Linked DNA regions of Daphnia pulex. The protein of the gene in region 5 purifies or fractionates together with the protein of the main gene of each other region. This does not show direct contact. Links are inferred from orthologs where the notes say so. Each region holds a gene or a part of one and is shown on either strand. Other genes may lie near its edges. The genes, in order: splicing factor U2AF 50 kDa subunit-like, splicing factor 3A subunit 3-like, splicing factor 3A subunit 1-like, pre-mRNA-processing factor 19-like, small nuclear ribonucleoprotein Sm D1-like, splicing factor 3B subunit 6-like and splicing factor 3B subunit 3-like.

What was found.
Region 1: the proteins of small nuclear ribonucleoprotein Sm D1-like (region 5) and splicing factor U2AF 50 kDa subunit-like fractionate together in Homo sapiens (co-fractionation; 3 studies listed by BioGRID, with this or other methods). This does not show direct contact. The link is inferred for Daphnia pulex from reciprocal best matches to the Homo sapiens genes SNRPD1 and U2AF2.
Region 2: the proteins of small nuclear ribonucleoprotein Sm D1-like (region 5) and splicing factor 3A subunit 3-like fractionate together in Homo sapiens (co-fractionation; 3 studies listed by BioGRID and IntAct, with this or other methods). This does not show direct contact. The link is inferred for Daphnia pulex from reciprocal best matches to the Homo sapiens genes SNRPD1 and SF3A3.
Region 3: the proteins of small nuclear ribonucleoprotein Sm D1-like (region 5) and splicing factor 3A subunit 1-like fractionate together in Homo sapiens (co-fractionation; 4 studies listed by BioGRID and IntAct, with this or other methods). This does not show direct contact. The link is inferred for Daphnia pulex from reciprocal best matches to the Homo sapiens genes SNRPD1 and SF3A1.
Region 4: the proteins of small nuclear ribonucleoprotein Sm D1-like (region 5) and pre-mRNA-processing factor 19-like fractionate together in Homo sapiens (co-fractionation; 3 studies listed by BioGRID). This does not show direct contact. The link is inferred for Daphnia pulex from reciprocal best matches to the Homo sapiens genes SNRPD1 and PRPF19.
Region 6: the proteins of small nuclear ribonucleoprotein Sm D1-like (region 5) and splicing factor 3B subunit 6-like fractionate together in Homo sapiens (co-fractionation; 3 studies listed by BioGRID and IntAct, with this or other methods). This does not show direct contact. The link is inferred for Daphnia pulex from reciprocal best matches to the Homo sapiens genes SNRPD1 and SF3B6.
Region 7: the proteins of small nuclear ribonucleoprotein Sm D1-like (region 5) and splicing factor 3B subunit 3-like fractionate together in Homo sapiens (co-fractionation; 4 studies listed by BioGRID and IntAct, with this or other methods). This does not show direct contact. The link is inferred for Daphnia pulex from reciprocal best matches to the Homo sapiens genes SNRPD1 and SF3B3.

Annotation. Positions count from the first base shown.
Region 1 is NC_060018.1:5,213,018-5,217,114, forward strand, and holds the start of splicing factor U2AF 50 kDa subunit-like, read right to left. Parts: upstream 2,801-4,097; 5' UTR 2,648-2,800; coding exon 2,620-2,647; intron 2,332-2,619; coding exon 2,032-2,331; intron 1,968-2,031; coding exon 1,705-1,967; intron 1,629-1,704; coding exon 1,406-1,628; intron 1,339-1,405; coding exon 1,265-1,338; intron 982-1,264; coding exon 859-981; intron 796-858; coding exon 637-795; intron 571-636; coding exon 271-570; 3' UTR 1-270. Other genes in the region: RNA-binding protein 28-like, read left to right, coding at 3,067-3,180, 3,255-3,423, 3,484-3,932, 3,995-4,097. UniProt on the Homo sapiens protein: Plays a role in pre-mRNA splicing and 3'-end processing. By recruiting PRPF19 and the PRP19C/Prp19 complex/NTC/Nineteen complex to the RNA polymerase II C-terminal domain (CTD), and thereby pre-mRNA, may couple transcription to splicing.
Region 2 is NC_060028.1:1,227,920-1,232,062, reverse strand, and holds splicing factor 3A subunit 3-like, read right to left. Parts: upstream 2,745-4,143; 5' UTR 2,632-2,744; coding exon 2,488-2,631; intron 2,423-2,487; coding exon 2,264-2,422; intron 2,204-2,263; coding exon 2,131-2,203; intron 2,073-2,130; coding exon 1,981-2,072; intron 1,917-1,980; coding exon 1,695-1,916; intron 1,632-1,694; coding exon 1,321-1,631; intron 1,260-1,320; coding exon 1,151-1,259; intron 1,090-1,150; coding exon 1,015-1,089; intron 947-1,014; coding exon 745-946; intron 673-744; coding exon 539-672; 3' UTR 501-538; downstream 1-500. Other genes in the region: moesin/ezrin/radixin homolog 1-like, read left to right, coding at 3,387-3,428, 4,004-4,143. UniProt on the Homo sapiens protein: Component of the 17S U2 SnRNP complex of the spliceosome, a large ribonucleoprotein complex that removes introns from transcribed pre-mRNAs.
Region 3 is NC_060024.1:13,065,697-13,069,974, reverse strand, and holds the start of splicing factor 3A subunit 1-like, read right to left. Parts: upstream 2,801-4,278; 5' UTR 2,589-2,800; coding exon 2,480-2,588; intron 2,423-2,479; coding exon 2,044-2,422; intron 1,975-2,043; coding exon 1,815-1,974; intron 1,753-1,814; coding exon 175-1,752; 3' UTR 1-174. Other genes in the region: proteasome subunit alpha type-2, read right to left, coding at 3,306-3,636, 3,715-3,970, 4,030-4,106, 4,167-4,207. UniProt on the Homo sapiens protein: Component of the 17S U2 SnRNP complex of the spliceosome, a large ribonucleoprotein complex that removes introns from transcribed pre-mRNAs.
Region 4 is NC_060022.1:3,394,092-3,398,195, reverse strand, and holds pre-mRNA-processing factor 19-like, read right to left. Parts: upstream 2,747-4,104; 5' UTR 2,634-2,746; coding exon 2,615-2,633; intron 2,520-2,614; coding exon 2,370-2,519; intron 2,308-2,369; coding exon 2,166-2,307; intron 2,106-2,165; coding exon 1,964-2,105; intron 1,900-1,963; coding exon 1,714-1,899; intron 1,658-1,713; coding exon 1,472-1,657; intron 1,393-1,471; coding exon 1,056-1,392; intron 989-1,055; coding exon 639-988; 3' UTR 501-638; downstream 1-500. Other genes in the region: heterogeneous nuclear ribonucleoprotein 27C-like, read left to right, coding at 3,054-3,112, 3,245-3,452, 3,656-3,857. UniProt on the Homo sapiens protein: Ubiquitin-protein ligase which is a core component of several complexes mainly involved pre-mRNA splicing and DNA repair. Required for pre-mRNA splicing as component of the spliceosome.
Region 5 is NC_060020.1:8,496,612-8,499,594, forward strand, and holds small nuclear ribonucleoprotein Sm D1-like, read right to left. Parts: upstream 1,532-2,983; 5' UTR 1,383-1,531; coding exon 1,369-1,382; intron 1,182-1,368; coding exon 1,105-1,181; intron 942-1,104; coding exon 741-941; intron 683-740; coding exon 597-682; 3' UTR 501-596; downstream 1-500. Other genes in the region: GPALPP motifs-containing protein 1-like, read left to right, coding at 1,964-2,437, 2,525-2,695, 2,764-2,919. UniProt on the Homo sapiens protein: Plays a role in pre-mRNA splicing as a core component of the spliceosomal U1, U2, U4 and U5 small nuclear ribonucleoproteins (snRNPs), the building blocks of the spliceosome.
Region 6 is NC_060019.1:12,853,526-12,855,994, forward strand, and holds splicing factor 3B subunit 6-like, read right to left. Parts: upstream 1,233-2,469; 5' UTR 1,103-1,232; coding exon 1,073-1,102; intron 959-1,072; coding exon 840-958; intron 783-839; coding exon 563-782; 3' UTR 501-562; downstream 1-500. Other genes in the region: dolichyldiphosphatase 1-like, read left to right, coding at 1-77, 140-269; pantothenate kinase 3-like, read left to right, coding at 1,686-1,785, 1,847-2,037, 2,105-2,278, 2,347-2,469.
Region 7 is NC_060019.1:9,348,446-9,352,688, forward strand, and holds the start of splicing factor 3B subunit 3-like, read left to right. Parts: upstream 1-1,443; 5' UTR 1,444-1,598; intron 1,599-1,924; 5' UTR 1,925-1,980; coding exon 1,981-2,206; intron 2,207-2,271; coding exon 2,272-2,442; intron 2,443-2,629; coding exon 2,630-2,906; intron 2,907-3,098; coding exon 3,099-3,249; intron 3,250-3,460; coding exon 3,461-3,702; intron 3,703-3,869; coding exon 3,870-4,048; intron 4,049-4,107; coding exon 4,108-4,243. UniProt on the Homo sapiens protein: Component of the 17S U2 SnRNP complex of the spliceosome, a large ribonucleoprotein complex that removes introns from transcribed pre-mRNAs.

The DNA.
Region 1 (4,097 bases), on a different chromosome or scaffold from region 5:
TTGTTTTTTCACCGACACGCCAAACAAAGAGGTTGGACAACACAAACTTGATGCAAAATATCGAAAAACCCATTTAGAAATGACAAAAAAAAACTGAAGAAAAAGAAAATCAAATTCATCAAGGGAAATCCCGTACGCATCAGGCCGTTTATTCTCATCAAGCGTCGGTTCGTCATGACGTTATTTGTTTCATCAAAGTAAAAAAAAAAAAAAAAAGAAGGGGCATATCTTGCGGATTACTTTTTGTCTGATGACAGAAGCCGTCATGGCTTAGAAGTCCCGTCGGTGATAGCGTTCCGGTTCGTAAAATGACGTAACGACGATACGATTGGCGAACTTGCGACCTGTCAGCGCCTGCTGGGCTTTAACGCAGTCGCTCACCGAAATAAACTCGACGAAGACCTTGCCAACTCCCGGTACATCATCGACACCCTCCAACGGCCTGGGAATTTCGACTGAACGTACGGCTCCATGACGATTGCATTCCTCACGAATATCGTCCACAATTTCCTCATATTCCTCGTCGTCCCTCAATTCCTCGGGTGTCACCATGTTCAGCAGACATAGAACCTACGCAAAAGAAAAGACCAAAATGAAATTAAAAATTGTCGCATTAGACAAGGTTGATTTTTGTACCTCTGTCGGTTGGCCAGGACCGGCAGCAAGATTGAATCCTGGTACTTGAATCTGGACTGGCATCTGGGCGTAAGCAGCGGCGTTTTTGGCTCCAACACTGGCTCGCTGGATGATGATCTTTTTGTCTCCCAACTGCATACCGTTCAATCCGGAAATAGCCTGAAAGAAAAATAAAATTAGATGTAATGGTTTTTCAAGGAATATTATCATGGTCTACTTTACTTGATCGGTGACGGTGACGTCGGCATACTCGCAGAAAGCGTATCCCTTGGATAAGCCAGTAGCCGTATCTTTAACTAAGTTAAAGGCTCGAAGTTGTCCAAAAGACATCAGCAATTCCTTTACCTAAATTCGAATGAGACAATTTGCGTGCGTGCCTAGAGTCGACCTTCAAAAATAACAATCTAGGGATCGACGGTGGGGAGATGGATCGAGGTTGTGTGGTTGGAATGGGTAGGAAGTTTTAAGGATCACGTGACCACTGTTTAGGGAGAACGAAAGAAGAAGACATTCATCAGAATCGATTTTGCTTCAACTAGACGCTCACAAATCCCATTTCTCTCACTCTTTTTTCTTCTCCCAATCGAAAACACATTTTACAGTCACATCGACGAAACAGGTAACTTACTTGTTCTTCGTTTAAGTAATTTGGAAGTCCACCGATGAACAATTTGTGGGGTGTATCCGGGACGATCGTGCTCACTGAGCAAAAAACAATGAATACATTAAAGAAATTTGCCATAAAAGAATCACTTTAAGTCGTCCTTACTTGTGCCTCCTCCTCCTCCACCACCTCCACCTCCAGCCCTCTTTTCAGTTATACCACCAGAACTCATGCCGGGCGTTGTTTCGGGACCACCACCTCCTCCTCCTCCGCCGCCACCACCAGGTGTTGGATGATAATCATGGGGTCTGCGGATTTTTAGAGTTTGACCTTTAAAGTTAATACCGTCAAAAGCCATGGCCTGGGAAGTTTCATCAATTGACCGAAACTGAAAAGTAAAAGAGCAAAATTATTTAAATATTCCACTAAAATACTAGGTTTCACGTGAAAACAATCCAACAAACCTCCAAGAATGCAAAATTCTTATCCAGATTAATTTGACAAGCTAAAATGGGATGACCTGGAGCTTGAGACAGACCAGACAAATGCATCTGTTGATTGAAGAAATCCATCATTTCCTCCTCCGCTGCGCGTACATCAGAAACTCCAAAAGGAATATTCCCAACATAGAGTCTCCTGGCTTGACGAGTGATTGTGTTACCCACTACTGGTACTTGGACTTGTGGGGCTACTTCCGTCATTATGTTAGCTGGAATTTGTCCGGCAGCTACGTAGATTCAAGAAAATAATAATTAGCACATTAAAATTGAAACTTGAATAAGGATTTATACCTTGCATTGCTTTGTATTGCATGGGTGTGATGTGTTCGAAACCAATAGGAGGAATATCCCAGTAAATAGACGGCTTTCTTCGGCGTTGCTTTTTAACAGGAGAACGACTCCTTTTGCGTTCACGTTCACGGGACTTGCTACGCTTCTTCTCCTTCTCCTTTTCCTTAGATTTAGACCTTCTCTTTCTGTCACGAGACCTGGACCGTCTACGATCCCTGTCTCTATCTCTTTCCCTATCCTTGTCTCTTTCCTTGTCCTTTTCCTTATCTCTGGAACGGTCACGATCTCTCTCCCTGTCAACTAAAGTATTTCAAATGTTAATAAATCAAACAAGTAAGTTTACTTGCTTGACTACCTTCTAACTACTATGACTAATATTTCCATACAAAAGCAAAACCACGAGCCAACATTATAAACCATTAAAAGTTATGAAATTATGTGTAAAATACAACCAGATCATTAAACACCCATTACTTGTAAGTAATGTGTGTTAAACATTTCTTTCTTAAGCATCACAGACTCTTAAGAACATTACAAAAGCATTATAGTTGATATTGACAGAAGTAGTTTAGAGAAGTTAAAACATACCTTTACGATCATCTTTATCTTCTCCCATGATTAACGTGTGATTGTTAGCTTTTGTACGACAATAAGAAGAAACACAGCAGAGGAAAACAGTTAATTATTGTCCAAATTTTCACTAAGACTGTAAGCCGGTTTGATTAAAGGCTGGGAATGGGCGAATGGCGTCGGAGACGAGGTTCGATTGACTCCTTGTACCGGCAACGTCGATTTAATGTTTACAATTTCAAACTTGGTTTTGATTAATATACTGAAAGGTAAGATTAAATATTTCATAAAATAATAGCCACATAAAATTTATTTTCTGAGTAATTGTTGTATTCATGTTAATCCTCATTAGTTGTCATTTTGCCAATTGACAACAGTCTATGCTACATTTTGACACATATAATCGTCTGCTTGACTAGCTACATCAGTTATACAGACAAGCACGTGTTTGGATAGATTTAAAAGATGAATCACTCTTCAGTTAAAAAAGAAGCTTCTATTGTTACTAAAGCAAACACATCAAAGAAGAGACCACCCAATAAAAGAGGAAGAATAATTATTCGCAATTTATCTTTCAAAGTAAGCCAAGAAACTTTAATTTATGCTACTTTTAGTATGTTAGTAAGTTAGTACTTGATTTAATTTATTAACAGGCAACAGAAGAAGCTGTTAAAAACTGGTTTGAGAAATATGGAGAAATTGAGGATGTGAAATTATTAAAGAAACCTGGTGGCACTTTAGTTGGCTGTGGTTTTGTTCAATTTAAAACAGTTCCATGTGCGGCTACAGCAATCAAAGAATGCAATGCAAAACCATTTCTTGGTAAGAAAATTTTAACATTTTAAATTTGATAATAGCTTATCAATTGTTTTTTTTTTGTAGGAAGGCAAATAGCTATTGATTGGGCCATACCAAAACAACAGTATGCCACTTTAAATAATAAAACTGACGAAGTTCCAAACATTGAGCCGCCAGAGAAGAAAAATGACAGAAAAGATGAAGAATCTGATGATGAAGAAAGTAATGATGAAGAAGAAGATAATGATGAAGAAGAACAAGATGGAGAAGCTTCTGATTCTGAAGTTGAGAATGGTTCCGGTGAAGAAGAAAGTCCAAAAAAAGAAGAAGCTTGGAAGGGTGATAATTCTGAAATAGAAAAGAAGAGTGATGTAGCAGAAGGAAAGACTCTTTTTATCAGAAATTTGGACTTTTCAACCACAAAAGACTCGTTGAAAAATTTCATGGAAAAATTTGGCAGTGTTCACTATGCATTGTTGTGTATGGATAAAATTATGGAGAGACCCAAGGGCACTGGATTCGTAAAATTTAGAGTAAGTTGCATTATTGCAAAAATAAATACATACTAATAACTTTTCATATTAACCATTTTTAGGATTCGGAATCGGCTCAAAAGTGTTTAGAAGAGTCTCGAAATCCATATTTACAGTTAGATGGACGCATTTTAGACGTGGCTCTTGCAGTTACTCGGGAAGACC
Region 2 (4,143 bases), on a different chromosome or scaffold from region 5:
GCCATTTCGATATTTCAAATACAGATGTTATCAATTAAAGACAAATTCAATTATAAGCAAGTGATTAAAGCTTGGGGTGCCTTTTCAATATCGTGATTGCTCAGAGGTTTTAAATATTTGTTATAAGATGACTGTTTAAAATTCGAATATGATTAAGATTACATACCTATAGTAAGGTGGTATATACTTTAAGTGTGTTAAAATGCAAGTATACTAAAAGTAGCTGATCGATGAGGATATCGACGGAAATCAGTGACACATAAGCATTAATCCATATTCTTTTTCTCGACATGTCGATGAGCTGGGAATTGAGACGAATGACGAAAAACTCCATCTGAGCAAAGTTTTGTGATGGGAAGATGATTCAGTAATACAAGTTGACAACAAAGTGATAAATCGAAACATAGATTAAGATTACCAATATTACAGTGACACTCGACAACAACCAAGGAGCTTGCGCTTCCTCTGTGCAAATGTGATGGAATAAAAATATAACCGCGCACGAAGTTATAAGATTTATTTTTCCAGTCATGTTTCTTTACAAGAGACCCTGTCGACGCAAATCTTCGTACGTTTTCTTGGGGATGACGTTGCCCATCGAGTCCTCGTACTCTTCCTCGTGATCGGCGACGAAACGTTCTGACGTTTTCTGGCTTCTCAATTTTGTCCAAACTGAAGTTTCAATTAGAATTTTATTATTAATCGGTAGGGGACAGGAAAAACAAAAATAAACTGAAAGCTTACGTGAAATTGCATCTTCGATTCGTGTTACGTTAGCAAAGTGGGCCGTGTTGGGAATACCCAGACACCGCATGCCGTGAGCGTGACGCCATTCGGCAAAATGACGTTGAAACGCCTTTGGACCTTTGTACGTGTAATTGCCGCAAATCTCGCAATTGTAGCTGATGTTCAAGCCGTGCAATTTGTAAAGCCAATATGGAATGGGCTGGATAAGAGATGAATCGATAAGATTAGAACAAAGTTACACAATTATTAATGTTGGTTCATTTATACCTTTCCATCCCAACCTAGTGGTAAATTCTTGGGATTGTAAGGGACGTCATCGTCTTCATCTTCATCCTCGGGGACCTGAAAATGGCAGTTGAGAATTTAAAGTTTAAGGAAATATGTCAAAGTAATTAAGTTATACCTCGACAACGTCTTCTTCTTCCTCCTCTCGTTCCCCATCTGTTCGGGCCTGTTTACGTTCCACGTTCTCTTTGGTAGCATGCCGTGGTTCAGACAAGATCTCAATCAGTCTATGAATTATTCACAATTAATTATTCATTCAATTTCATTCAATAATTTAAATGGAATTACTTATAAACTTGAGCCTCCAGAAGGGCAATCTTCTTTTGTTTTTCGGCTTCCTTATCTTGTTCGGTAGCACCTCGATTTTTACCCTGGCCTTTGGCGAAGAGAGATTTGTCAATTTCATCTACCGACAGACCTTTTGTACTGAAGAGTCTTTTGGCACGGTCTTCGAGTGTTCCACCGCACTTGAGACCCAAAGCTATCAATGCTGATTTCAAACGATCCAGTCCTAGAGATGCCAATTCCTCACAAGATGAAAAGGCTGAAATATCCAACGCCGCACCTGCGTTTGCCAAAGCACTTCCGGTTGTTTCTTTCTATAAATTTGCCAGCGTTAGTTAGGTTGGACAGAAAATAGAAACAGTCGTAAATAGACTTACCGGCCATCCAGGAAATGTACCCGCTACAAAGTCCTTTTCGAAATCTTGTTCGATTTCATGAAACAAGTTGTCAAGGTCCATGACTGGTTTTACTCGAGCAACATAATCGACTAAATAATCCACCAATGCTTGTAGATAGTTTCTGTATTCAGCGTTCTTCTTCTCCCGGGGAATATCAAAGAGACGGTCAAACATATTAAGGTAGCTAATGTAGTCAATTTTCTGTAAGAAATATAACTGTGTTAATTTTTTTCGATTTGTTTCTTGTTTCAATCTATAAACTGACCTGAATTCCTTTTAAATTTGTGTATTTCACATAGCTTTCATGAAGATCCAAATATTTGCCATAGCCCTCCTCATCGGTAAAGTCAACCAAATCTGAAAATCAAATTACATTAGCTTTATATGACTGTGCTTTCTGTCAGATATAACCTACTATTTGTTTCGTCAGCTCCACTCTCTCTCTGTTTGGCAAACTCATCAAATTCCATGGACATTGGTACAGCAATCTGTGAAACAAAACCAACTGCTATTGAATGACACTTAAAGAAAATGAATGTGTTTTATACCTCATTTGGATGTTTTTTGTAAAATTCCTTGATCTGTTTTAGTCTGTTGTAAAATTCCACAAATTCATTTGGTCCAGAGAGCAGTGCCACCTCCTCTTTGCGCTGTCCGTCCTTGTCTTCATAGATCTCTTTCAAAACTCTTGTACTCTCCATATACCTCTACAGTTATCAAAATACGACATTAAGAGTTGTTTGTTCAATTGTATGAGCCAAAGTTTACATACGTCAAGCAAAATTTTCTGACGGTGTTCCGAGTTGATTATCTCCCTTTGAGTGGTCTTTTTGAAGATTGTTTCCTTGACCATGGAGTCGATGATACGCTCTTTTTCTTCATGATATCTCCTCTGCTGCTCTAGCAAAGTCTCCATTGGTTTTAATGAATTGAATTGTATGATAAAATAAAAAAATTTAAACAAGCCGGCAATAAACGAGCAAAAATCACAATGCTTGGGCTTGGAAAACAAACTGGTGGCCGTTGTAAGAACTAAAGTATTCTATCGATTTTTTGCAAAAACTATTTTCACTTTTTTAATTATAATGTTTTTAATTATTAAAATGGTACAATTCGTTAAAATAAAAGAATATATTGTCTAAATTTAAATTTGATGATTTGTTACTCATTTCATGTTTACAAGACTGTAAAGTGTAAACCCCTTAAAATTAAATTTTGATTCATTTACCTTCTCAATATACACAGCTTAATAAATTTTCTAGCTTAATTAAAAATTTTAATTTATTCCTAATCATTAAAAACCAATTTCATTCATTGCATTCCAAGAAAATGTGAGCATTTTTTTGCTGTCAGGACTCAGGACGGTAATGTTTCCTAGTGTCGCCAGAGGGATGGAGCGAAGTCTTTGAAAATCGAAATAAAAAGAAAAAAGAAAAAAAAGCTGAGCTAAGCTATTGGTAGCCATATTGCAGAAGAGCGAAGAGGGGAGGTATACTGAGGGCCAACAACGGTCGAGAGCCGCCGCCGATTCAGTGCGTTATAAGTGGCTGTCACCCGAGAGAGTGGTTTTCACGTATACGCAACAGTACTTATTTCTGTTTTATTCTTTTACATTTAATCTGATTAACATTTTTTAGTGTATATCCACACATCCAAACCGAAAAGAACTTGATGTTTGTTTATCAGGTGGCCGTCGTTCAAACAATAGGCGTGGTGTGTGTGTGTGTTTCTTGAGTTGTGTTTGGTGTGTTCGCCATTGGGAATCGTGAAAAATCGAAAAACGATTCGGCCTCTTGACTCGAGTGTTTGCCCTAAGCATTCCCCCCTCCCTTATTTTCATCCTTTCCCTATCAATGACACTCAAGGCTCATGTTGAAATACAGGTGTCTGAATGAATGCTCATCTCTCTGGGTTTGGAAATAATGTACGGGCCAGCCATGACATCACCATTCCTTCCTTGTATTCTTTCCATTCAACCGTAATTTATTTTTTCTCCTCTTGACATTTCAAAAGGAATGTCTTGGTTTTCGATCAACCCTGATGCATTCGCTAAACTGTGACGGCACCCTGCCAAATGGACAGGATGTGTTGGGAAGTCACTCTGGCCTTTCGACAACTCACATATACATATAGAATCCCATCACTCTAGCTATGTGCCCACATGCTGACCATCTGTGTACTTTAGATTTTGTTGACCATATGCTATTGAATCTCTTCTACACCACCAGCAACAACCCCAGTCTGTCTGTCTGACATTAATTTCTTCCTGTTGTTTTCTTTCTTTCCAGGTTCTCCGTGCGTATTGTTCGCGCGAGCGTGAGTCTGCAGAAGAAGAAGAAGTAAAAGCCCGGCTTTCAACTCTTCCAACAAGAGTCAGAGGAGAGAAAAAGCTTGAAACAGCCCAAGAGCAAACAAGATCATCCAACAT
Region 3 (4,278 bases), on a different chromosome or scaffold from region 5:
TGAGAAAAGTTGAATATATTTCCATTTCTGAGACCAGGAAGGAATCGATGACAGTGTAGCAGAGGGAGAGACAAAATGGTTGTAAAATGCTTTCCGATTACGTAATTATCCCCCAAGGTCCGTACTGATGTAAATGAGGTTTTTTGATGGTTTAGGATTTTCCAGAATTGTTTTTTACTTCTTACGACCGCCTCGTTCCTTCACCTGAAGCTGGACAACAGCATCGGGGGTAACATTGTAAAATGCCAGAGAATGATTGTCCTTGAAGTAGAGCCCCTCCCAAAAGAGCTTTTGCTTGGCCGGCGGCATTCCTGTCGCTTCACTAATCTTCTGCTTAACAACGGAGATTGGTTCCGTGGGCAACAAGGAAAAGCTGAGCTGCTGGCCCTGCAATCTCCACTCGGGTTTTTCGGCGTAAACTGGTGCACCAATATGGAAGTGGAGCAGACCGGGATATCTGACCAAAAAGGCTTCCTCAGGCATAAGTTGATCCTCGTTGCGCTGTCGTTTAGAAGGAGGCTCCTCCTCCATGACATCTCGACCACCCTGACCCTGCTGCTGTTGCTGCATCATGCCCATAGACTGAGGCATCTGCGTCATGAAAGAATTCTGGGGGACCATGGGCATTGGCATTGGCGGCTGAGGGATGGACATCATCATCATGGGTGGCGGCTGCGGAGCAGACATCATGACCGGTGGTCTTGGTGGAATGCTCATTAATTGTTGTGGAGGTTTAGGTGGCGCTGCTGCTACAACGCCATTAGATCCTAGCCCATCTTCTTCCTCGCTCATGCCAGTCATGAGCGCCTTGTTCTTGTGGATCTGCGCAATCTGCTCTTGTATGGTAACCAGGCCAGCAGGTGGACCAGGTCGGGGTTGGAACGTTGATCCTCCCTCTCCACCTGATGGTGGCGGGGCAGGCGGTTGTTGTCCTTCCCATTTGGTCTCGTCTTTGCGACGCTCTTCTTCACCAATCTTTTTACCGATGGCTGTCTCTTCGTCACCGACACCGAAAATATCTGTACGACGTTCAGCCAATGCTCGCAAGCTGTTTTCGATGGCTGATCCGGGCGCGTACACAGACTCTTGAGTCATCTTTTCTTGCATTTGTCGATCGCGCTGCTCCAACCAACGCGGATCCAGCAAACCGATACGCATGTGCTCAGCCACTTGGCTAGCCGGAATTCGCTCTCCAGTGATGGGTGAGATGAGGTACTCGTCTGGAGCAGGCGGACGGGCTTGTGGTTTTGCCACAGCTTTGGGATTGTAGTCTTTACGCACGATGACGTTTTCGGCAGAAGGAGCCACTGGAGGAGGCTGTAGTCCATCTCCCTTGATGGCTTGAGAGGGCGGTGCGCCTGGTGGTGGTGGTGGCTTTGTCTGTTCCGTGTCTGAATCGTCTTCTTCATCATCGTCTTCCTCTTCACTCTCCAGCTGCATCTCAACATCTTGTCCTTCTTCGTAGCGCTCCTGGAGAAGAATACGGGCACCGACCTCCTCTGGGGTTGTGGGAGGAGGGAAATTACCAATTTCGAATGGTTGATAGTCAACTGATTCGACGACTACAAAGTCGTGCCAATCAATTTGCGCATATGACACGCGTTCCCTTTCAGCTTCTTCTTCTTCTCGGCGTTTCTGAGCCTCTTGATGACGTTGCCAGTCGGCTCGTCGTTTGACTTCTTGTAAGACAACGCTAGTATTAGTGCAACCCTCGTTCAAACGGGTCATCAAGTCTTTCGGTGGGATAAGAACCTAAAGAATAACAAAATCATTTAGACTTTCATTCAAACAAAATAATCTACCAATCAAAATACTTTGGTGTACTGTTCTAGGAGACGAGTGAAATATTGAAAAAGCGAGTGCTGAGGACGCAGAAAGTCAAACTGATAATTTCTGGCCTCACGATTCATCAGACTTGTGAGGAACTGGCGACCATTCCTAGCTACAAATTGGGCAGTGAGTTTCACAATGTCTCTGAAATAAGACACAAGTGTTGTTAAGTTTTAGCTTCATAATATTTAAATAGTTATTTAAAAAACTCACAATTCCATGGCTGAAATCGATGGAGGATCAACAATGAATTCAAACTCTGGAGGTGGCTCTTTTGGGATTACAGGGGCTTCTTGCTGGAATTGTTTCAAAATTTCTTGCTGTTTCTGCTGCTGTGCCAACGAAGCTGGTGCTGATGTAGGGGCTGATGGTGGTGGTTTTCCCGGTGGGCCTGGGACAGGTGCTGCTGCAGGTGCACCTTCTGCAAGCTTTCCTTCTCTGATATCCTTAACTTTGTACTGGTAGTATGCATGATAAGGATCTCCAGTATTAAGAAAGTTGAATTTTGGGTTATTCTGCTCATTTTTCCTAATCCGTGCTTCAAACTCCAACCCATTTCTGGCTACAAAGCTGGCTGTCTTGTCCACAATATCTAAGAAGAAAATTGTTATGAATTATTCACGAACTTGTAAGTTGACAACAAACTTACTTCTGACTTCAGGAGGTGGGTAAATGATGCCGACAGTAGGCTTGGTAGAAGCATTCTCGGGCATATTTACTTCACCAGAAACTGGCAATGTTTCCACAGCAGGTGGCATGCTGACTATCAAACTCTATTCTGATGTATGAAATTGTCAGATTCTCACGTCAAAATTAAAAACTGATTCTATTTCTAAAATGTGAGTTAAATAGCGTTTTTCTGTTCCGGCTTTAACAGCAGAACGCAACAAAACGTTGCTGTCTATCCGCTACAATGTTGTCAGACTGTTTAATTTCAGTGTGGCGCCCACTTCTTCCGAATTCCGATTCCGACTTCTTCCCACTTTTTTCCACCTAGAAAAAATTGTTAAACTCTTATCTGCTATTAGTTCAATTCAGAAAAAGAATCCCTTGAACTATACTGTTGAATTATACGGAATTCACTAATATATGTCAAGTACCAAAACAAAATCATATCCAAATTCATAGTTCATTCGGTTCATTCATCTGTTTGCTCGTTTGAATCGATACAAGAAATGAAGAAAGTATGTAGTAAGAATTTAGAATAAACTTGAACGTTAAACAACAATGATCAAGTATAAAAAATACAACCACTTTGAACTGATTGAGGAATTATGACTGGATCTTTTAGATCTTTTATCTGATAGATTTTAAGATTTCTAACAGGCAATTTGAGTGAAGATAGTAGGAAAATGATTGTTTAGCAATGAACAAAGAAAAGGAATTTTGTTTTTAAAATCCAAGAGAAAATTCATTAAGCAACCATCAGATTTATTTTTCGACACTTGTTTGAAATCAAAGAATTTTCGAGCCGTTTAGGCAATGTTCGCCAAGTAATCCTTAACCTCAGCGGGAGATAATCGGCGGAAACCCTGCTCGTTACAAATACCAATTTCAACATTATCTTCTGTCATGCCTCCTTCAAAACCCTCTTTGAGAGTAAGAATCGCAGTGTGGACAGCATCGTCGAGCTCGAGGTCTTCATTGTATCTTTTCTCGAGGAAAGTTTTGCCATTGATGTAATTCTTTCCCATGGCAGTGGCTTTCCAGGCAAAGTAGGCTCCTGATGGATCACACTGAAACAGATATGGACGTCCTTCATCCCAGCCACACATCAAGAGTGAAACACCAAATGGCCTGACACCTCTGCATTACAAAAATTCATTGAAATGTTCATCTATACTATTTAAGAACTATTTTTTTGTGACAAAACCAAATATTTACCCAGACTGTGTGTACTCTTGCATGAGGGTAGCAACACGCTGGACAAGCTGGGCAGTTGGTATCTGTTCTTGATAAGTTACCCAATATTGTTGAGCCATTTTCCTTGCTTGACGAACCAAGAGGCGATAATCAGGACCCATTCCACTGTAGACCATACCGATCTTGGGGGTAATCATTTCAATCTTGTGAACACTGTGTTCTTCATATAAGATTGACCGATGCTTCTTCTCAGTGGCCAGAACGACACCATTGGCAGCTATAACATAACATTATTTACATTGTTACAATCTTTTACATGCTGAAATTTCAATATACCTTTAATGCCGACTGATGCAGCACCGGCAGCTACTGCGGCCAAAGCATACTCGATTTGTACCAGTTTTCCAGAAGGACTAAACAATGAAAATAAATGTTATATTTAGTCAAAACTTAGAAAGTAAATGATAGAAAACCTGAAAGTTGTTAGGGAGAAACTATATCTTTCGGAAGCCATGGTCTAGTTAGATTTTTTAGTTCTGTTCTGTTCAGTTATTGAATGACAGGACAGAATTGAATGCGCCTTCA
Region 4 (4,104 bases), on a different chromosome or scaffold from region 5:
TTGTGTCAACTCTTTAGGGAGAAAAAAAAATGCGTCAAATTAAAGAAGACAAATTTTTTGAAGGGCAGAAAATTTTATTCATTCAACAAAACCACGCTTCCAATTACAAAAGATGCAACAATGCAACTTGATAGAAGCGACGGTTGAAGGAACTGTTTTTGGGCGACTTACCTCGTACTTTATCTGGAAAAATCTTGATTCAGGATAGCAATCCAATATGAAGAATTTGAACTATGAAATTTGAAATTAACGTAGTATGATCTCACTATTCCTTGTTTACAAGAGTCGACCGGCATTTTAGGCCAAATACATAAACCCCTGTACGAAGGAGCGGCCGATGCATCGATTGCCTAAGCCGCCATTGGGATATGCTTCAAGAAAGCGAAAATGCCAAGCGAACTGCCACGCCACTAGTGACAAAATTTCGAAGCTTTTTGTTTTATTTAATGTATCGATAGTAACGCGGGAAACTTAACTATCGATATACACTCGTAGAATTGTTTTTGATGGGAAAAATGAAACGCGTGTATTTTTGTGAGGGCGAGAGTTCGATGCGGTTTGCACACCTTACAGCAAAAAAAAGGATAAGACGAAAAATGTTCATTTAAAAATCCCCTCTCAACATTGAATACAGTGAATCACTCGATGCCATAAATTTTCAGCGTACGATCCATACTCACAGACGCTATCGACTGCGCATGGTTGCCGAAACGGACTCCCATAGCCAATGCTGTATGGTCGTTAAAAGTCTTAAGAGTTTCCCATTGCTTGCAGAGATAAACACGCACGTCGGTACCAGCCACAGCAAGGTAGGTGCCGCTTTGATCGAAGCACAAGTCCTTAACTTCGTATCCTTCGTCGAGCTGAATTGTTTTAAAATTCTTCAATTTCCGTAAATCCCACAATTTGACGCAAGAGTCTTCTGCCGCTGTAGCCAAATAGTAACCATTTTCTGAAAATGACAAAGCCGCAATAGGACCGGAATGACCTGTAATTGTAAAAATGGTAATAGTAAAGCTAATGTTTATCACAAGATTATTTTAAAAGAGCCAAACCTGGAAAGTTGGCCACGTTAGATTGTTCTTTTAAATCCCAAATTTTGATCTGTGAATCTTGTGTTCCAGTGCCGAAAATGAGACCATCTGGATGGAACTGGGCTGTCGTAAGCGGATTTCCGTCTGTGTCGGCAACCTTTGTCAACAACCGCCCAACGCGAATGTCTGAAAATGCCCAGTGTTGATCCAGTGACGTCGACAAAACATATTCTCCGGTTGCGTGGAGCGACAAGCCTGTGACAGGGCCATCATGAGCACGGATGATGGCAGATTGTGAGGAGCCGGTTATATTCCAAACACGAATCGTCGCATCAGGAGATGCTGTTATCGCGACTTCCTATAACAGATTCAAGGGGTATATTAGTATCATATAACAAAGTAAATCAAGAGAAAATTAAAAGAAAACATGAAATTACCTCTTCTGGATGATAAAGCACCTTGGTAACTTTTTTTGTATGTCCCTTGAGAACAGCAACAACCTGCTCAGTGTCCTTGTTAAAAACTGTAGCGCATCGATCGTTACCTCCAGTCAAAATATGAGAAGTATCGGCGGCGTGAACGTCCATGGTCAAAATTCCGGGCATACTTGCACTGTGCAAAGCCTATATGTAATCAATCCATGAAGATGGGATAACATTTCAAAATTATATGTCATTACCGGATGAGATGCCAAAGTTTTATATCCCTTCAAAGCTTCTGCTGTAGCTAAGCCTTCGGGCATGGTTTTGCCTCTACGTTTTCGTTCTTGAGTAAGAACAGTGGCTTTATCTTGTAATTGTGATATGATTTCCGGAGTTAATCCAGCTGCCTCGATCGGTTGTGCTGCCACACCACCCGCTTCAGCCTTACATCAAATCAGTAAATTTATCATAAATAACATACAAATAAATATCATAATGCTTTCTTACTGAGGCAGCAACAGATGGTGTAGATACAGCAGCATAGCCAGTCTGGGGCTTAAGAGTTGCAAGTGCTTCCCGTGCTGTAGACACTTCCTTGTGGAGGCGTGCAATAACACGACAAGCAGCATCATGTTGGTAGAGAGCATGACTACAAATAGAAAGAGAATGTTTGCACAATAATTCCATGTGTAATTAAGTTGGTCAATACCTCAATTCTTGTCGAGCAGTTTGTAATTGTTGCCTCAAAGTAAAGGAATTTAACATGACAGCATCCCATTCATCTTGTAAAGACTTAAGCACGGCGGGAATGCTTGTTGCAGATGGCACTTTAGGCTTAACAATTGGGGGGGCTAGAAACAAAATTTCAATTACATGTAAATTCATTGTGGAACTTTGATAAAAAATTTCTTACTTTTGATTTCAATAAGTTGATCTACAGTTATTTCTTTCCCATTGATGGGATCTACCCCGTTATCAGCAATGTACTTTTCAATCAGCCGACGTTCAAACACAGATCCTGACACCGGTGAGACCACAGGATGTTCGGGAACTTCGTTCGACACTATATAAGCAAGAGATATAAGACATTAAATATCAAATTTCTCAGAAGAATGGATTGGTTTTAAATTGATATTTATAATGAAAATGTAATATTACGAGAACAACAGAGGGCCATGATGAAGCGTGTAACCTTTTTTTATATACTTTTCACAAAAATGTGCGACAAGCCAAGATGCATATGTTCGCTTCGCTTAGGGCTAAACAGTTGCTAGACTACACTATTCAATAAAGCGCTTCATTCCTCAGTGCGAGTTTTCTTTTCTTTTCAAAATCCAATCATTTTTTTAAGACTCAGAAATTTTTTTATTGGAATGTGTAAAAGAAACAGCATAGTTTTTTATAAGTAATAATTTCATAATTTAAGTTTCAAGTTTTCAACTAGAAAAAGTGTCCAGGCAACGGTGCAAACTGACTGAAATGCCGGGCCAGCCATTTCCCCCATTTCTCAACTGAAGAAGCCAACCCAAGCGCAGTGCGAACACTCCTCGAAAATTTGAAAGATTCGTTTACTGTTATATTCAATTTAAACTGAACAATGGCCTCTCAACAAAAATTCCCTGGAAAAGAAGGTGGTGATAATTCGAATGAACAAGGGTAAGAAATTTTTTCCATTTATAATATGACATGTGAAGTTCATGGGAGAATGTAAATCCATGACGCCGTACACTAAGCTTTTCATGATTTGCGTCCATTTACTATTTTTTGGTACGAATCTTGTTTTTTTAGTAAAATGTTCATCGGAGGTTTAAGCTGGGAAACGACGCGCGATAATTTGCTTCGATATTTCAGTCAGTATGGTGAAGTTGTTGACTGTGTGGTAATGAAGAACCCAGAAACTGGTAGATCGAGAGGGTTTGGGTTCATTACATTTGCTGATCCTAACAATGTTGGTTTAGTACTACAAAACACACCCCATATACTCGATAATCGCACAGTAAGTTTTTATATTTTCTTCATACTCTTATTTGCACTACCTGAGCGGTGATAGAATGTTTAACATAATTTTATCTCCTTTCGCGGTATTGCTACATAGAAGTGGAAGGAATTGAAGTTTATATCTCAACTTGAGATATATATTTGATTTCTTTCTACATTTTTGGTTGTTTTTTATGATCTCATATTTTTATGTTTATGCAGATTGACCCCAAACCTTGTAATCCACGTGCCGAAATGGTACGCGCTCCTCGCCGGAGTATGGGTACAGGAAATGGTTACAAAGTATTTTTAGGTGGGCTTCCATCAAACTTGACAGAAACAGATCTTCGTAACTTCTTCTCGCAGTACGGAAAGGTCTCTGAAGTCGTTATCATGTACGACCAAGAAAAGAAAAAATCTCGAGGTGAGTCACTTTCCTCAATTAGTGGGTATTAAAGTTAATTAAAACAGCGTAAATAAACTATGAACGTCCTTACATAACGTATGACGCAAGTGTAAGTGGTTATATTCCGAAGATTCGATGGATTCCTTTTTTGATAACTTTGCTAACTTTAATAGTGTGGTTATTTTATTCCTATAGGTAAGCAAATGGCTAAGTTCCTATCCACGTTTACTTCTACTGCTCATGTGAAAGAGTTTCCGCGAATTAC
Region 5 (2,983 bases):
TAGAAAATTAGGAGCAGATATCGCCGAAAGCCTCTTAAACGCAAATACCTCTTAAACTGAAGTTACAAAAGCAAATAAAACTTGTAGCCACGACTGTTCTTAAACATGTCAAGTTTTCCTTAAATTTGCGACATTCTTAATTTAAATTAAAGTTTAATGGTTTAGTCACAAAAAATTGAATAGTTTTAGTCTAAATTTAATAGAAAAGTAATTTAACTTTCATTTCCATCAAACTTTCATTACTTATTACACCGCTCTTTACACTTGTTTTTTCCCCGACTCCTCTGACAAAATGGCAAGAATAGTCAATATTCTTGAAATAAGCAAGGAAACGTTATGCGATGTCCGCTTATAAATCAAGAAAAGGAATTGACGGTTCTCTACAAATTATCTATGCTTACATGGGAGTCAATTGGAATTGATAAATAATTCTCATACAGACTCAACTGTGGGGAAAAAAGTGTTTGTTTTAAGGACTTTTCAACTGACCAAAAAACATATAAGACAATGACAATTTGTAATGCAAATGAAAACTGATTCCACATTTGCTGAAAAGAACGAAAAAAAAAATGGAAAATCGTTGGAAATTACAAATTTCAGCGTCGAGGACCAGTAGCACCACGTCCACGTCCTCGTCCACGTCCTCCTCTGACAGCTCCGCGTCCACGGCCTCTTCCACGAGCTAAAAAAAGAAAAGAAAATGAAAAGAGGAACACAGTGATAAGGGGAAAAAAGTTTACCTCTACCGCTAGCATCCTTCTTCTTGGCCTTGGCTTTCGGAGAATCATCCAATAGTAAGGTTTCAAGAGGAAGTGAATCAGGTAAAATGTAGTACCGGATGTTGTTTCCTCTAATACTCAAAGTTTCAAGCTGAACAGGGTCTCTGTTTTTAACTGTCATTTTCACAGCTTTTAAATGAGTGTTCATAGCAACATCAACTCCTATAAAACATAATCAAATGAATGAATTTAGTAATATACAAAACGGAAAACTTTTCTTCTAAAATGTCACTTATGTGTTTGCAATTTCACTAAGTTTTCGAAGAAAGTATTTAAGGATTGCAGTAAAATAAAAAATCGAATAAAGACAACAAAATTGAATTACCTGTTATTGTTCCATGAACCTGAGTACCATTTTTTAATTCAATAATGACTGTTTCGTGGCTCAGTTTCATCAAAAACCTAAGGATTATACAAAATAATGGTATTTATTTCAATTGAAAGCAGTGAACTATTTAAGTTGTGAAATATAGAAACGGCATAGTTTCCCAGACGCATCCAACAACCGGCTTAATACCCAGACCAAACCGATTTTTGTGGCTACTTTCTGTACGAATTTACTTGACAATGAACATATTCCGAAACTTACCTCACTAATTTCATTTTTGATAAACTTGTTGTTTGATGGCTGTAATAAAGTAAATCACCATATACGACTTATTGAATGTTTTAATCCTTAGTTTAGTGAAACGCACGAGGTACGCTAGTCAAAAACCAAAACTGCTTGTTGGAAGCATAACTTATACTAAAAAGGCCCTGTGACATTTCATATTTCATAACGGTCGATGACTATGATTTTTGTACTTGTAACGTAGCGCCATCTACGCAAATATTTTGAATTTTGTTATTAGACAAGGTTTATTTTTGCATATTTTAATCAAAAATTAACTAATAATAATTTTTTTTTATTATTTTAAATTTATTTATCAAAATAAATTCATAAATCCAGAAGCATTATCGAAGCGTATCATAGAACCGCATAGAACACAAGTGGCATGACATGAGTGACAATAAAACGTACTCCAAAACAGAAAACACATGAGACAGGCCTGCATACTATAACAGCATTTCCAGTAAGCTAAACATTGGGTTTCGGTTTCACCTATTTTCGATTTTTTAAAAATAATTCTTTGTCGGTAACGCATTCTCAATTTCCCGCGTGGTTTTAATTTTTCCCTCTCAAAATGTCTCGAATCGGACCAACATTACCTCCTCATCTTCAAACAGCGTATGAAAATGATGATTCAGATTCTGATGAAGGTGATCTCTACGGACCAGCACTTCCCGCTCATTTAAAATCACAGAAAGTGTCCAGCAAGTTAGTGCAATCAAATATCTCCAATGACAGAGGATGCTCTGTTAATCATGAAGTTGACTCTTCATCAGATGATGAAGTTATTGGACCACTGCCAGCTGATTGTATGGATGCTGAACATAGTTCATCAGTTGACATTGAACAGCGGGCTCTTAAGATGAAGAGGAAGTTGCTTGGTGTGGATGATGATGAAGCCAACAAGCAACCAAAAAGAGAAGATTGGATGATTGAGCTTCCAGAACTGAAAAGGAAAAACTTTGGCCTGGGACCTCGTGTCTTTAATCGTTCTGACAAACCTGAGGTTGTAGGGAGAGATCAATGGACTTCAACACCAACTTCCAAGGTTCAGATAGTACAATAGATACACATATAATGAAATTTTCTTAGCTGGTCATTGCTAATTTCTATAATTTAATTAATATAATTTTAGCAGCCTAGTACATCCAAAGAAAAAGATGAGGATTTTGAAGCTGAAATGAGGAAACAATACTTGGAACAAAAAAGGAATAAGAAGCTTGAGAAAATTGTGGCCATGCATGATAAATCCAAGAAGAGGTCAGAGAGTTTGTTGAAGACACATCAAAAGGAAATGAAAAGCAAGGTAATCCTACATTTTTATTTTTGCTGTTAAAGTTGGGGTAATTTGAAGTAAGATTTTTGTTTCTATAGAAAGACAACTCGTCCGGTCCTAAAGAAAGAAAACCTTTTGATCGTGATGAAGATTTAAAACTGAATCAACTCGATAATGCAAAGCGGAAATCCTTAATTAAGAAGTCCCAAGAATTAAATTCAAAGTTCAAAATTGGGAATCAAAAGTACCTTTAAATAAAGTGTAATTTCATAGCTTCAAACCTTGGTTCAAAATATGGTTCAGGTGATAACGTTTTTC
Region 6 (2,469 bases), on a different chromosome or scaffold from region 5:
GGATCTGTTTTAGCAGTTTCGTGGTTCTTATTTACGCAATTCGCTCTAACGCCGTGGTTCCCAACTGTTGCATCATGGTTAGTTTTCCTCAAAAGTGTTTCCATGCCGATAACATGCAATATTCATTGTTATTTCTTAGGAGAGTGTGTGAATGGCTATTGGTGAGAGATCAAACATTAATCCCTAACATTATCTGGTTTGAATATACATCTCACCGGAGCGAATCAAAGCACAGAAGTCGAAAATTGGTCTCCATGAAGTCCCAGTAAAACTGGCTTGAAAATAATTTTGTGTTCAGTAGCTGCAGTGCAATTGTTTGTCTGTTTACTGTGCCTACAAATCTGTTATTCTTGAAAGCCGGATATTTCGTGAATATTCTTTTTAGAAAAAACATTTTTGAGTTGTAATAACTCGTGCAAATCATATTTGATATTCCATTACAATGGAATACCTCACAATTACACTGGTTGGAAAAGGGTCAATACTGGTTACAATTCACATAGTGAAAATGGTTTTTTTATTATACCAAATTGTACAATGAGAAATGAGGTCAATTTACATGTTATTCATCATTCAATCCAAATTTAGCCTTCATGCTTTCTATCTCTTCTTTCTTCTTGTCTGTGTCAACCTTTTTGAAGGCCTTTGTAGGTTGATAATAGAGTACTACAAGGTAACGATTGCAGACATTAAAACCAGAAAGATGATCACAAGCATTTTTTGCATCAAAAATGTCTTCATAGACCACAAAAGCTGTTCCTCTGGTTTCTGGAGTGTTCCCTCTATCAAATCAAATGAGTTACAATTGATGCTAACATATATTATCAATTTCTACTTACACTCTGATTTGCCGAATAGCTCCGTATTTTCCAAAGATATCATACATTTCTTCTGATGTAATTTTATAGGGAAGATTTCGGACATATAGGATTCTGTTTACTTCAGGAGGTAACCTCACCTGAAAAATAAAAATATTTAAGAAATGCTCACATGGAAATCTTGATGCACAACAATCTTGACTCAATATAATAAACTACTAATGATAAAAAAAAATTAACACATGATTGCATACGTTTAGCTTTTTCTGCATTGCCATCGCCATTGTTAGGAGTAAAATTCAGTTAAAACAACGAAATCACTGATCAATACAATTCAAAACTGTGCTCGTGAACTTGACAATAAGAACGCCGCTTGGTATTCAAAATGGCTGCATAGCAGACGACGATTCTGAGCTGACAGAATAAACAAAACATTATTTTCGTGTAATTCAATTAATTGGTTTTATGCACTAGAAAATTTGATTCAAATTAAATACTAAAAAAATGTATATATATCTCATAAAAATCTTTTCCTAGCTCAATTTACTCTTCACATTTTAATATTTTGGCAATGCTGATGTTTTAGCAGACGAATTTGTGTCAAATGAGGAATAGCATACTCAAATAAGAGAAAAGGAAAGGGGAAAAGTTTCCACATCGTACGACCCGAATTCCTTTTTCTATTGGTTCGAATATCAAGATATGATGCAGATGGCCACTATTCGAGTCGCGTAAACTGAACTGATTCGCTACTTCCGATATCAATTAAATAAAGGGATTTTTAAGCTTCATCCGGTGCTGTGCATACAATAAAGAATTGCTGGGATATAACTAAAGAAAGCACATTGAAATTCTGCACATTAACAGATGTCTTCTGATCACGAAACACAATATGGTCGCACAATGGATAGTGTAGAAAACAGGGTAACAAATGGCCATGATTCAAGTTCCACAGTTGTTCATTCTCGTAAGTATTGTTATTTTTAATCAATTAGTTGTGATAATAAACAATTATTTTTATTCTACAGCTAGCATGCCCTGGTTTGGAATGGATATAGGTGGAACTTTAGTTAAATTAGTGTATTTTGAACCAACTGACATTGCTCCTGAGGAAGAGAATGTAAGTTCGTCAGAAATTGAAACCTTACACAACATTCAAAAGTATCTCACTAGTAACAATGCTTATGGAGAGACAGGGCACCGAGACATTCATCTGCAGGTGTTTACATCTTCTAATCTTTCCTATTTTATCAGAAATTGATTTCAGTATAATTTTCAAATTTCAGATGAGTTCAATTCCAATGGGAAACAGAGTAGGAACATTACATTTCATCAGATTTCCTACCTCTGAAATGGAGCAATTTCTGCAGCTAGCAAAATCTAAAGGATTTGCCTCTCTGTCCACAACCATTTGTGCCACAGGTGGAGGTGCATACAAGTTTGAAAAAGACTTTTTAAGGGTTTGTACACTTTATGCAGCTTTGATTTCTTTTTCTTTTTTCTTATCTTGTTATACGGTTGTCTGTAGGCTGTTAATTTAAATCTACATAAATCGGACGAACTGGAATCCCTTATCGGTGGGCTCTTGTACATTGAAGAAATTCATCGTCCCGAGGTTTATTATTGGGAAAATCCAACTGACGAAACTAAG
Region 7 (4,243 bases), on a different chromosome or scaffold from region 5:
CGCGTACATGGCTTATAGCGGTTGCAGCATGTTATATTACGGAACAAGGGGATTTCATACCGCGCCCAGCAGCGCCTTATCTCAACGCATTTATGACAGTGTAGAAAACTATAATCTCATGCTGTTCCCGACGACGACGAAAGTTGGCCCAAAACTACCGACTGCTGATATCGCGTATACAACAACAACAAGTCGACGATGTTAAATTCCAAACGTCGAAGAATTTCGCTGCGGCTATCTTTTGGAAGATGCTGCAATAAAGGCTGTTCCAAAGAATGCAAGGACAACATCAAATTCTTCGTTTTTTCTAGTTTCGTTTTTTTTCAAACCTCTAAACTTGTTCTTAATAGGAAACATCAAAAGTCAAGAGTTGATTTCCGACTGCAAGCCGTTCCACATTCCATCACTGGCGACAGAGGACGAGTTAATCGGTAAAGTTCGGGAACTCGATTGTTTCAGTCAATATGAATTGAATGACTCGAAATGAATTCAACGGTACATTATGAATTGAAAAAAAAAGATAAGTGCTTCAACACCCTTATTCGTTATTCCTTACCGCACCGCAAATAAAAATTTTTGAATAAGAAATTTTAAAAGATAGACAAGTTCGGGATGCTGAGTTGCACAACCGCAAAATTAGGATCGTGCGCCAACGAGTTTTTGTAACGTTGTGGGGATAGTAGAAAGCGGGTTTTTTATTATTTAAGCATAGAATTACTTATCTAATCTTAGAAATGTTCAGGATTATCGTTGTTTAGAACATTCTGCTTTTTATAGAGTAATTTTAAATGTATAATTCAGCTTAGTTTACCCATTAAAATTAAAGAAAGTCCAAGCCTGGGATGCTGTTTAGTCTTTTCTTGTGTTTTTTGACAGATCTGCTGACAAGTGACAAGCTCAAACACACAAGAAAAGACTAAACAGCATCCCAGGCTTGGACTTTCTTTAATTTGAATGGGTAAACTAAGCTGAATTATACATTTAAAATTACTCTATAAAAAGCAGAATGTTCTAAACAACGATAATCCTGAACATTTCTAAGATTAGATAAGTAATTCTATGCTTAAATAATAAAAAACCCGCTTTCTACTATCCCCACAACGTTACAAAAACTCGTTGGCGCACGATCCTAATTTTGCGGTTGTGCAACTCAGCATCCCGAACTTGTCTATTCAAAGCGTGGCTGCATGGTGGTTCTAGAGAGAAACTCGCGCGCATAGCAAGGGATCGGAATATGAACACGTCTTTTGAATTACTTTATGAGTAATAAAAACAGCTGTGAATAAATCATTCTTGATTATCACCACTGAAATTTTTTATTAATTTCACAATTTTATTGTATAATGCATTATGAAATCGTTCTATAAATAATAATAATAATTTAAAAAATCTTGTGATAAAGAAAGCGCAAATGCATTGAAAATGCTGTGTTTAGGGATAGACCAAGTAGAGAGTCGATGTCAGATGTTCAAAAATATTGCCTATCACACAATGCACGAGAAGTCGAACCCTAAACTCGAGCGCGACGCCGGAGCCAAGAGAGATTTCACTCAACCTTTGCTGAATTTTCCATCATGGAAAATCTGTAACATCCACAGGTAAATTCAAGTTTGACTACACATTTTAGTTCCAGATAGTTGAAAAGCAGTTATTTTGATGGTTAAATGTGTGTTTTTGGCGATGTTTAAAATATTGAAGCATGTCAATTTGAAAACCTTGCCGGGTGAGATGCCGGGGCTGTAGTTTCTTTCGCGTACTCGTCTAGCTATTAAAGAAAAGAAAACCCCTTACAACTTTACCGCCTTTCTGTGAATTAAGTTTGGTGGCTATACATGAGGGGGACATTAATTTTCAAATGGTGTGTAACATTGTCATTAAACATGTTGGACAAATGTAAGAATTATATCTGATAACATTTTCGCAGGTGATGCTCATCTAGGCAGTTCAAGTTACACATTGGACACGTCAACTTGAAAGAAAATGTATCTTTACAATCTGACTCTGCAGCGTGCCACTGGCATCATTCAGGCAGTCCAGGGCAACTTCAGTGGCACCAAGCAACAGGAGATTGTCATTGCTCGTGGAAAGGTACTCGAAATTGTGAAGCCGGATCCCAACACTGGCAAAGTACACACACTTCTCAGTCAAGAGGTTTTTGGAATCATCAGGTCAATCATTAGTTTCAGGCTTACTGGAGGAAATAAGGGTGAGTTGTGCAAATATAATTTTTAAAACATACATCCTGCTAACTTTCATTAATTCTGTATTTAGATTACCTTGTGGTCGGATCAGACTCTGGGCGAATTGTCATTCTTGAATACAATGCTGCCAAAAATGTGTTTGATAAGGTGCACCAAGAAACGTACGGCAAAAGCGGTTGTCGTCGGATTGTTCCTGGACAGTACATGGCAATTGATCCCAAAGGCAGAGCTGTTATGATCAGTAAGTTTTGATCCGTTTTTAATTTAAATTCTTGCAAGTGATGAGTTACGTTTTTATGTCTTCTTTCCCCATCTGAGAAAGATAATGCTGATATCTAACGTTTTTACTGAGAATTTTTTAAAATCGAAATCTTGTGGCTTGAGAGTGCGCATTGCTTTAACATTTATGTTTTTTTTTTGCATTGCAGGTGCTATTGAGAAGCAAAAACTGGTCTACATTCTGAACAGGGATGCCCAAGCCCATTTAACCATTTCTTCTCCGCTGGAGGCTCACAAGTCAAACACTCTAGTTTACAACATAGTGGGTGTTGACGTGGGATTTGAAAACCCTGTATTTGCTTGTTTGGAGATGGATTATGAAGAGGCCGATGGTGATCCAACAGGCGAGGCGGCACAGAAGACGCAACAAACGCTTACATTCTACGAACTCGATCTGGGTTTAAACCACGTCGTTAGGAAATATAGGTGCGTAACAAATCTTGGTGATTTTGGTTTTGCCTGGTTGGGTTTCAAAACCCCTTAACTTTACTGCTCTCTTGTCACTTAAAGATTGCAGCTATACATAAGGGGGACATTATCTATCATAGTGTGTAACATTGTTGACTTATGTGTGACAATGTAAGAAATATTTTGATGAACATATCTTTACTTTAATAGTGAGCCGTTGGATGAGCACGCCAATTTCCTCATCACTGTTCCTGGAGGAAACGACGGACCTTCCGGAGTTCTGGTTTGCTCCGAGAACTACATCACATATAAGAATTTGGGTGAACAGCATGACATTCGTTGCCCAATCCCCAGAAGAAGGGTACGTTTGATCATTTCATTATGTTATTTGGCGCGCGGTATCTCCAGCCGTGTTCTATACACGTGCTGGTCGACTAGTGCCTAAACTATACTTGGAGATGTTTGCATCGTTGGATTGTAATGCGCATATTGCATGCTGTCCTGGAACGAACCTCCGATAAGTTATTTATTCCATGTATTGAGGACGGTAGTAATAAGTTTTTTCTCTGTAGAATGACTTGGATGATCCGGAAAGGGGCATGATTTTCGTCTGCTCGGCTTCCCATCGCACCAAGGCCATGTTTTTCTTCCTTGTCCAAACGGAGCAGGGCGATATTTTCAAGATCACCATGGATATGGATGAAGAGGTGGTGAGAGAATTGAAAATCAAGTACTTTGATACCGTTCCAGTTTCGTCCAGCATGTGTGTGTTGAAGACAGGCTTTCTATTCGTCGCATCGGAATTTGGAAATCAGTTAGTTTTCTTAAATTTTTTTTTCTATTTGCTGAAATGATGTGTATTGTCATCCGTGTTTCACCTGAGATAACACTTTGATTATAATTTTTGACTCTGATTTCGGTTACAAAATTTGAAGTAGTTTTATGGGTTTTCAAGTGTATTAATTTTCCTTGTGTTATTAGTTATCTTTACCAGATTGCTCATTTGGGGGATGATGACGATGAACCCGAATTCAGCTCTACTATACCATTGGAGGAAGGAGATACTTTCTTCTTTGCTCCGAGACCTTTGAAGAATCTTGTTCTCGTGGACGAGATGGAGTCTTTATCTCCAGTTCTGGCCTGCCATATTGCTGATCTCGGTAGGTTTGATAATTCCTCCTGTTTTGAAAGGTTTTTAACATTTGTTTTCAATTTACAGCCAATGAGGATACACCCCAGTTGTATGCACTTTGTGGTAGAAGTTCTCGTTCGTCTCTTCGTGTTCTCCGTCATGGATTGGAAGTATCGGAGATGGCTGTTTCTGAACTTCCCGGTAACCCCAATGCAGTGTGGAC